2 linked regions of the Macaca fascicularis genome follow. The protein of the gene in region 1 binds, or shares a complex with, the protein of each later gene. Links are inferred from orthologs where the notes say so. Each region holds a gene or a part of one and is shown in the gene's direction. Other genes may lie near its edges. The genes, in order: CDK6 and CDKN2A.

Region 1 (4,593 bases):
GACATGCTCTTAACACAAATGTATTTTATGAATTATCTTAAGCTTAAAGACATACAATTATTCACTTTTATTTTTAAAGAAAAAAATATTATAATGCATTGCAAAATATGTGCTACTGGAAATGCATCAATTTTTTATTTCCCTAGCCTTACCTTATACTATAATATAGAATCAATTTTATAAAGGCAAAAATTTGATTTACTATGAGATCAGTAACATGGTTTTAAAGTCAAAAGATTTATAGAAGTAGTATGTCCAATTCAAACAGAATTTTGCCGGGTTTTAATTTTTCTACAAAGCACTGAAGTAAATAATTTTGTGAAAAGTTTTTCTTTAATATGTTTTAAAGGGTTTCAAGTATTCTACAGATAGAGATTTTGGGGAGAACACCAAATTCTTTCCAAAAAGACAGCTATTTCAAGTTTTCTTTTACTCCATTGTAGAAGGTTTTAAAGACTTTTTTTCTCCAAAAGCTCATTTTCACCTGAAATAATTGTATTCAAGGGTTTCTCAGCAGGTAAAGTATACATTCTTACAAGGTTTCAAATTTCAGATTTCCAATAATGCATTTAAACTGAGCACTCCTCTTTCTGTGTATGTATCTATTGTCTGCAGTTCTATTATTTACACTAAATTTTAGTCCTTTTAGCTCCTCTGAAATACGTTAGTGAACCCTCAGCAGTTACTAACCACTTAATAATTGTGAACCCGCCAGCCCCTTCAAGTAGATCGTTAACCATAAGAGTGCCTGACAATTTCCAAACCATACCCTCTGTCTAAAAGGAAAAGATAGGGCTTTGTGAGGCAGAAAGGAAGCGAAGGAAAACAAAACAAATGTAGCTCATGCTGAAAGTGAAAAGTGCTTGAACAGATTAGTATTTTCTTTTCTGCAAGGCATCCTGCCAAACTTTTTCTTTATTTTTTTAAGAGAAGAGTTATTTTTTGGTCTGATTTTTCAGTTTCTTGGAAAGTATTGGTATTTACCACCCCCATCGGCCCTTCATAATTATTGTTAGTTGTTTTGTGTTTTTCCCATCCGTCCACGTCACACAGTGAGGATACCCCCTGCTTCACCCTGTCAAAACCCCAACTCTGGGCGACCCTGGGTTTGGAAACTCCGCCGACTCCCGACGACACGTCCCACTCTCTCCCACTAACGCCGCTTATTTTAGTCGCAGGATCCCCCTACTACAGTTTCAGTGAAAGCCGGAAATTTTCATTTAACTCCCCTGCCCCCCCAACCCCCCCGCCCCGCGCCTTTCTAGCCCCCGACTCGTAGAAGGGAGCTAGGGAGCCCGGAGCTCGGAGCACTGCCGGGGCTTGGCCGCCTCCTTTCTCTCCGGAAGGCTTTAATTTGCACACTTTCTTGCCACTGCGCCACGAGCCCCCAGCCTCGCCGCTGGGTGGGTCTCCGGCAGAGTTGGCTTCTCGGGTCCCTGCCCCCACCCCGCGCGGTCGCCCCCGCTGCCTCCCTGGCTGGGGCCCCCAGCGCCGGCCAGAGCCCCGCGGCCCCCGTCCGCCCCCAGCTAGCGGCGCGGGCGGCGCCCTCCGCCTTCCCTCCGCCCTCCGCCGCTGTGCCCACCCCCTCGCCGGAGAGAGTGCTGGTAACTCCTTCCCCAGAGTCTGATTACCTGCTCCGCGAGGCCGCGGACACGTGCGGAGAGCCGACTGACACTCGCAGCCCCCTCAGGAGGCCCGACGCGACTGGGCCCCTCAGGTGAGGAGCTGTGCGCTCGGGTGGGTGGGCTGCGGGGTGGGGGGTCCCTGGGGAGATATGGGGGATTGGCCGGGGTCCGAGGCAGAACTGTGGGTGGGGTAAGTGGAGGCTGGCGGGGGGTGGGGGGGACCTGTGTTTCCCTGGAATCGGCTTTGGTTAACCCCTTACGAACTGAGACGGCGTTGGTTATGGGGGCCAGTTTTGGGGAGCTAGAGGATTCTAATCTGACGAGAGGGGGAGATCCTACGCTAGGGACACCCGCGACACCGAGATCCTGCTTCCACGTACCCGTGCGCACACACACTCACACAGAACACTCCTCATCCAGTTTCTCCAAACGGAACTGGAACTTTACTCGGACATTCACATAATAATTCACATTTAGGGTTCAAAATGCACTGCCTCTAGGGACTCCATGCTGGAGAATGTGCTTGCATTTCCCCCACGAAAACTCCCTCGCCAGCTCGCTGAGGTGTGGGTGTGGGCTCCACCTTCCCCTCCACGAGATAAATGTTAACGCAGGCTTCCTGCGGGCGTGTTATGCACAGAAGAGTGCACGCAGCCGGCCGGTGCCCAGGCTTGGAGCCCCACGAAGACGCACGTTTGCTTTAGTTTCCAAGTTTACTTTTATCATTTAAAATATTGGAGTTAAACACACGCCCCGTGGTGAGCAGCCCTTGTCCCCGCAGGGCGCCCGTCCGTGTGCATATGGGCGCATCTGCGTGTGCGCACACGCGGGAGTCGCGGTCCCCGGTGTGGCCTCTTGTTGCCGTGCTGGTGGCGACCCTTGTGGTGCTTGGCAGGCTTCGGGAGAGGCGCATGAAGGATTTCATTGAGTGTGAAGACAGAGAGCAGAGACAGAAAGCAGAAGGAGGCGGCTGCAGCCTTTGTAGTCGCGGAGGAATGCGGAAATGTTGAAGCACTATGTCAAACTTTTTTTGAAATGGGGTCAAGTCACATTCAGCCAGCGTGGGAAAGCAACAACAACAACAAAAAAAAAGTGGAGGAGAGGGGGGGAAAAGGCATTGCTGCTCCCGTTTCTCTCCGCCGAAGCCGACCGTCTGGGGGGCGAGTGGGGGGAGAGTCAGGGTAGTGCGGGGCCCGGCGGGGGCAGCAGGCGAAGTTCCCTGCGGGGGTGGGACGTCCCCGACGCTTCCTTCGCTGCGGAGCCCGGGGCTAGACTCGAGCGGGAGGGGGATGGGGGGACGCAGGAGAGGCGGGTTGGGCGGCCGGCGGCGGCTCCCCGGCTACCTGTGTGGCCCTCGACCTGGCTCAGACGCCCGGGCAGTCCTTGGGGGCTCTTTCCTCGGCTTTTAAGGAAAGTTCTGAATGGAGTGAGTGCCAGAAGCTCTGCTTTCGCCGCGGTCCGCTCCACGCGCTCATCGTGGGGGTCGCGCCGTTTGTTTAATTCCTGGCAAAAGGCGAGCGGGGCAGCGGTTGCGAGGCAGGTAATTCCGAGGTGCCCCGGGAATTCCGGACACGCGGCCAGCGTGGTGAAAGTCCTGCCGAGGCCGCGGCGGCCGTGGGGGAGGGAGGCTCCCTAGGTCCCAGATAGCTGCTGAATGGGGAGGGAAAGTTAGGGTACCCTTCTCCGGCGCTTTGTTATGCAGAGGGCTCCGGGGGCGTCCGGCTGCAGCCTGGACCCGGCCTTTAGCCGGAGAGGGAATGGGGCAGCCACCTCCGCTACCTACAGCGGGGTGGTCCTGGGAGTGGGAAAAGGTTCGCGAGTCCGGGCCCCGAGGGCAGAGACCTTGTTTCTCACCCCTGGAGGCGCAGGGTTTAACCCCCCACCCCCCACCCTTTGAAAGAGAGGTTGAGTTTTGCTCAGGTCGAAATCAATTTAAAACTTCAGGACGAGGCGCGATTAAGCTATCCTCTTCCTGAAATTATTCTTTAAGAAGACGACAAGCGAAATTGTGACGAACACCCCTTTCTCCCACCCTTGGGATCCCGTGGGGGACAGTGTCTCCCCTCCCCCAGGACCTCTCGTTCGCCCACCCCCGATTAGCCCCAACCCTCCCCGACCAGATGGCTGGTCTTCCCAAGGTTTCCACCAGGGAGGTCCTCCCAGTCGGAGAGAGAATTCCGTTTCCAACCGAGACTCCTTTACCCCAAAGAGACCATTTGTGTATGCGAGTCGTTTTTAAATGTCTCCTCGTAGAAAAACTGAAAGTAGAAAGAAAGGAAGCAATTTCTGAGCAGATGTCTGACCACCCCTTCTCGCACACTCACAGCATCGGGTTACAGGGTCCTGGGAGCCCCCACCCACATTCTGCGGCCCCACACGGATGGACCCACAGTCCTTCCGCTCCAGCTTGTGCGCGACCCTTGAACGCCCTCCGGCACCCCTGGACCCCATCTCCCTGCACGTCCGGGCCTCAGGAGGCGGGGAGGGTAGCGACGCAACACAATGATATAGGGATAAATATTAAGCCGTGACATTGACGTGCCCGGCGCCTCCCCTCCCCCGCGCTCCCGGCACACTCTGGGCTGCTCGGCACGCCCCCTCCCGTTCCACTGCGTCCCGCGCCGCTCGCTCATCCCCGAGGGGCCCCTGCAACCTCTCCGCGCGAAGACGGCTTCAGCCCTGCAGGGAAAGAAAAGTAACTTCGCTTTTCTCGGAGGAACCAGGAAGGATTAAGCGGCTTGGGAGAGGGCAGGAGCGCGCGGAGGGTAGCGATGGAGGCTTCGTAAAGGAGGAGGAGGGGAGTCTGGAGGAACCCCGAGGAAGGCTTCTGGGCTGTCTGATTGCACTTTCTTCTTATCCTCCCGTCTCCTCCTTTAGGTGCAATGATTCTGGACTGAGACGCCCTTGGGCAGAGGCTATGTAATCGTCTCTGTCTGTGCTGAGGACTTCGCTTCGGGGAGGGAAGAGG
Region 2 (4,589 bases), on another chromosome or scaffold:
GAATGCTGGGATTATAGGCGTGAGCCACCGCGTCCAGCCTTTCCTTTTATATAATAGTGATAATTCTATCCAAAGCTTTTTTTTTTTTTGAATCGGAGTCTCATTCTGTCACCCAGGCTGGAAGGCGGTGGCGCGATCTCGGCTCACGGCAACCTCTACCTCCTGGGTTCCAGCGATTCTCCTGCCTCAGCCTCCTGAGTAGCTGGAATTACACACGTGCACCACCACGCCCGGCTAAGTTTTGTATTTTTAGTACAGACGGCCAAAGCTGGCCTCGAACTCCTGACCTCAGGTATCTGCCCGCCTCAACTTCCCAAAGTGCTGGGATTACAGGCGTGAACCACCGCGTCCGGCTCCAAAGCATTTTCTTTCTATGCCTCAAAACAAGAGTGCAAGCCAATCCTCAAAACGGATAATTCAAGAGCTAACAGGTATTAGTTTAGGATGTGTGGCAGTGTTCTTAACTCTTATATGTATTAATATACAACAATTCATTTAAACTCACAACACCCCTGTAAAGCAGGGGGTACCCATATTCCCTTCTCCCTTTATAACTAAGAAAAATGCAAAGTATTTTCAGTAGGAAAGAGAAATGTGAGGAGTGTGTAGGAGACAGGACAATGTGTAAAGCGGGTCTTTGGATCACTGTGCAACTCTGCCTCTAGAACACTGAGCACTTTTTCTGGTCTAGGAATTATGACTTTGAGAATGTAGTCCGTCCTTCCAATGACTCCATCTCCATTTTCCTATCTGCCTACAGGCAGAAATCTCCCCCGTATTAAATAAACCTCATCTTTTCAGAGTCTGCTGTTATACCAGGCAATGTACACGTCTGAGAAACCCTTGCCCCAGACAGCCATTTTACACGTAGGAGGGGAAGGGGTGGAGAAGGAGAGGGTAGGCCAACTCTCCAAAAGGAATCCTTTGAACTAGGATTTCTGACTTAGTGAACCCCGCGCTCTCGAAAATCAAGGGTTGAGGGGGTAGGGGGACACTTTCTAGTCGTACAGGTGATTTCGATTCTCGGTGGGGCTCTCACAACTAGGAAGGAACAGTTTTGCTTTTTCTTATGATTAAAAGAAGAAGCTATACTTTCCCTATGACACCAAACACCCCGATTCAATTTGGCAGTTAGGAAGGTTGTACCGCGCAGGAAGGAAACGGGGCGGGGGGCGGGGGGATTTCTTTTTTTCTTTTTAACTGAGTGAACGCACTCGAACGCGCCTTTGCTGGCAGGCGGGGGAGCGCGGCTGGGAGCAGGGAGGCCGGAGGGCGGTGTTGGGGGCAGGTGAGGAGGAGGAGCCCAGTCCTCCTTCCTTGCCAACGCTGGCTCTGGCGGGGGCTGCTTCCGGCTGGTGCCCCCGGGGGAGGCCCACCCTGGGGCGACTTCAGGGGTGCCACATTCTCTACGTGCTCGGAGTTAATAGCACCTCCTCCAAGCACTCGCGAACGGCGCCCCCCTGCCTGGAAAGATACCGCGATCCCTCCAGAGGAGTTGAGGGGGACAGAGGCCGAGGGGGCTCTTCCGCCAGCACCGGAGGAACAAAGAGGAGGGGCTGGCTGGTCACCAGAGGGTGGGGCGGCCGCGTGCACTTGGCCGCTGCGGAGAGTGGGAGAGCAGGGAGCGAGCAGCCGGGAGCAGCATGGAGCCTTCGGCGGACTGGCTGGCCACGGCTGCGGCCCGGGGTCGGGTAGAGGAGGTGCGGGCGCTGCTCGAGGCGGGGGCGCTGCCCAACGCACCGAATAGTTACGGTCGGAGGCCGATCCAGGTGGGTGGAGGGTCTGCAGCGGGAGCAGGGGATGGCGGGCGACTCTGGAGGACGAAGTTTGCAGGGGAGTCGGAATCAGGTAGCGCTTTGAGTCTGGAAAAAAGGGCTTCCTGGGGAGTTTTCAGAAGGGGTTTGTAATCACAGACCTCCTGCTGGCGAAGCCCTGGGTGCTTGCGAAGCCAAGGAAGGAATGAGGAGGCACGCGCGTGCCGATCTCTCGAATGCTGTGAAGATCTGAAGGGGGGAACATATTTGTATTAGATGGAAGTATGCTCTATCAGATACAAAACTTACGAAGGTTTGAGATAAAACGGGAGTCTTAAAGAAATGTAAGATGTGCTGGGACTACTTAGCCCCCAATTCACAGATGCCTGGATGGAGTTTATCTTTCTTACTAGTAGGGATTATCAGTGGAAATCTGTGCTGTATGTTGGAATAAATATCGAATATAAATTTCTGATCGAAATTATTCAGAAGCTGCCGGGCGCAGTGCCTCACGCCTTATAATCCCATCACTTTGGGAGCTCAAGGAGCGGGGGGATCACCTAAGAGTTCGAGACCAGCCTGGCCAACAGGTGAAACCCCGCCTCTACTAAAAATACAAAACTTAGCCGGGGGGTGGTGGCAGGCGCCTGTAATCCCAGCTACTCGGGAGGTTGAGGCAGGAGAATCGCTTGAACCCGGGAGGCTGAGGTTGCAGTGAACAGCGAGAGGGAGCCACTTCACTCCAGCCTGGGTGACAGAGTGAGACTGTCGAAAGAAAGAAAGAGAGGGAGATTAAAAAAAAAAAAGCATTCAGAAGCAACTACATATTGTGTTTATTTTTAACTGAGTAGGGCAAATAAATACATGTTTGCTGTAGGAACTTAGGAAATAATGAGCTACATTCATGTGATCGTGCCAGAAGTAATATGTAGTCACCATTTTGGGAATATCTGCTAATATTTTTACTGTTTTGCTATCTTTAGCTTACTTGATAATAGTTTATTTTGTGATAGAGTTTTCAATTCCTCATTTTTGAACAGTGGTGTTTCTCCTCTCCCTACTCCGGTTTTGTGAGGGAGTTAGGGGATGATTTAAAAGTAATTAATGCATGGGTAACTTAGCATCTCTAAAATTTTGCCAACAGCTTGGACCCGGGAATTTGGCTTTGTAGTCCTAAAACATCTTAGAAGAGACCTTATTTGTTTAAAAACAAAAAGGAAAAAGAAAAGTGGATAGTTTTGACAATTTTTAATGGGGAAGGGAGAAGAACATGTAGAAAAGGGGAAGTGTTGTTGGCTTAGAATCCTAACTACACTGGTGTTTAATATAGGAACACTTATTTGTATAATATTTTTAAATGCTAAATTCATATCAATTTATTATCAAATGGGTTTAAGCATCCTACACATTTTAATTCAATGAATTCATTTTCTTTTTGCTTTGGATTTATATCATGATTTAAATATTTACATATGGGTTACTTTTTAGGTTTTTCATTCTATGAAATATAATAAAAACCTTTAAGGCTAGTTTTATGACCAAGACAAAGAGAACTTCAGTGAACACACGGAACAATAAATATGCTGCAACATTTTGTCTTTCTTTTTGTAGCTGCAATTTGGTTTGCTTATACTTTCTCTTTGTCTCTTTGAAAACTAAGTCAGTTTCACTTTCTCAGGACAGCATTTAATAACCATAATATAATTTAGTATAATTCCTTGATTTAGGCAAATTATGCAATTTGTGTTTAGTATGAAATGTACCTAAAAATAAGTAATTCCTCTTTAACACAACCATCCTCAAGCTAATATAACAAATAACAGTTATCCTAAAATAAATTGTTTATTTCCACCATGCAACACTCAAATTTTAAGGTTGCTATGACTGGAGACAGTATTTTAAAATTCCTCTCTGGAAATGGCTTTGTTTCCAAGATGATTTAGGAACCAAAAAGGTGACCATCTCTTGTTTAATGAACTCTCAAATCATAAACCTGGGAAGCCTTTTCGTTTCCTATTGCTGCTGTTACAAATTACCACAAATGTGTTAGCTAAAACAAACAAAATTATTATTTTACAGTACAGTTCTAGAGATCAGAAGTCAAAAATGGGTCCACTTTGGGAAACTCTAAGGGACAATCTGTTTCCTTGTCTTTTCCAGCTTCTAGTGACCATCAAATTCCTTGGCTCATATTCCCTGTATTTTCTCTGTGGCCTGTGCTTCCATTCTTTTATCTTCTCTCTGACTGTGACCCTCTAATAAAAACACTTGGGGTTCTATTGAGCCCACCCTGAAAATTCTGGATAATCTCCCTCAAGACCATTACTTAAATCACATCTGCAAAGCCTCTTTTGCTACATAAGTTAATAAATTAACAGTTTCTGAGGATCAGGACATAGACATTTGTGGGGGGGGACCTTATTCAACCTACCACAGGAAGGAATTTTAGGGCTAGTCTAGCATTCTTATTTTATACTTGAAGAAATTGAATTTTTGGAATTGGAGAGCATTATGCTAAATGAAATAAGCCAAACACAGAAAGACAAATATCACATGTTCTCACTTATCTGTGAAATATAAAACAAATACATTCTTAGCAGTAAAGAGTAGAATGGTGGTTGCTGGAGCTGGGGAGGGGGGCAGTGGGAGGAATGGGGAGTGGTAATCAAGATACAAAGCCTCAGTTAAGATGGAAGAAATAAGTTTGATTTTTTTTGAGATGTGTTTCACAGCATGATAAATATAGCTAAATAGTAAATCCCAAATGCTCTCATTTGACAAAAATATCAAATATTTGAGATGATGGATGGGTTAATTAGCTTGACTTAATTCCAC

What was found.
Region 2: the proteins of CDK6 (region 1) and CDKN2A are in contact, whole or in part, in a crystal structure (PDB 1BI7), measured with the Homo sapiens proteins. The link is inferred for Macaca fascicularis from reciprocal best matches to the Homo sapiens genes CDK6 and CDKN2A. Residues at the interface, in NP_001138778.1 of Homo sapiens: Glu14, Cys15, Val16, Ala17, Glu18, Ile19, Phe28, Lys29, Arg31, Leu33, Asn35, Gly36, Gly37, Arg38, Phe39, Arg44, His100, Asp102, Gln103, Asp104, Thr106, Thr107, Asp110, Lys111, Gln149, Thr154, Ser155, Leu166, Ala167, Arg168; in NP_000068.1 of Homo sapiens: Thr18, Ala21, Arg22, Gly23, Arg24, Glu27, Asn42, Tyr44, Arg46, Gln50, Val51, Met52, Met53, Met54, Gly55, Ser56, Arg58, Asp74, Ala76, Thr77, Thr79, Asp84, Arg87, Glu88, Gly89, Phe90, Asp92, Asp108, Trp110, His123.

Annotation. Positions count from the first base shown.
Region 1 is NC_088377.1:128,509,723-128,514,315, forward strand, and holds the start of CDK6 (cyclin-dependent kinase 6), read left to right. Parts: upstream 1-1,625; 5' UTR 1,626-1,717; intron 1,718-4,262; exon of another isoform or gene 4,263-4,502; 5' UTR 4,503-4,593. UniProt on the Homo sapiens protein: Serine/threonine-protein kinase involved in the control of the cell cycle and differentiation; promotes G1/S transition. Phosphorylates pRB/RB1 and NPM1.
Region 2 is NC_088389.1:76,950,184-76,954,772, forward strand, and holds the start of CDKN2A (cyclin-dependent kinase inhibitor 2A), read left to right. Parts: upstream 1-1,619; 5' UTR 1,620-1,643; coding exon 1,644-1,769; intron 1,770-4,589. UniProt on the Homo sapiens protein: Acts as a negative regulator of the proliferation of normal cells by interacting strongly with CDK4 and CDK6. This inhibits their ability to interact with cyclins D and to phosphorylate the retinoblastoma protein.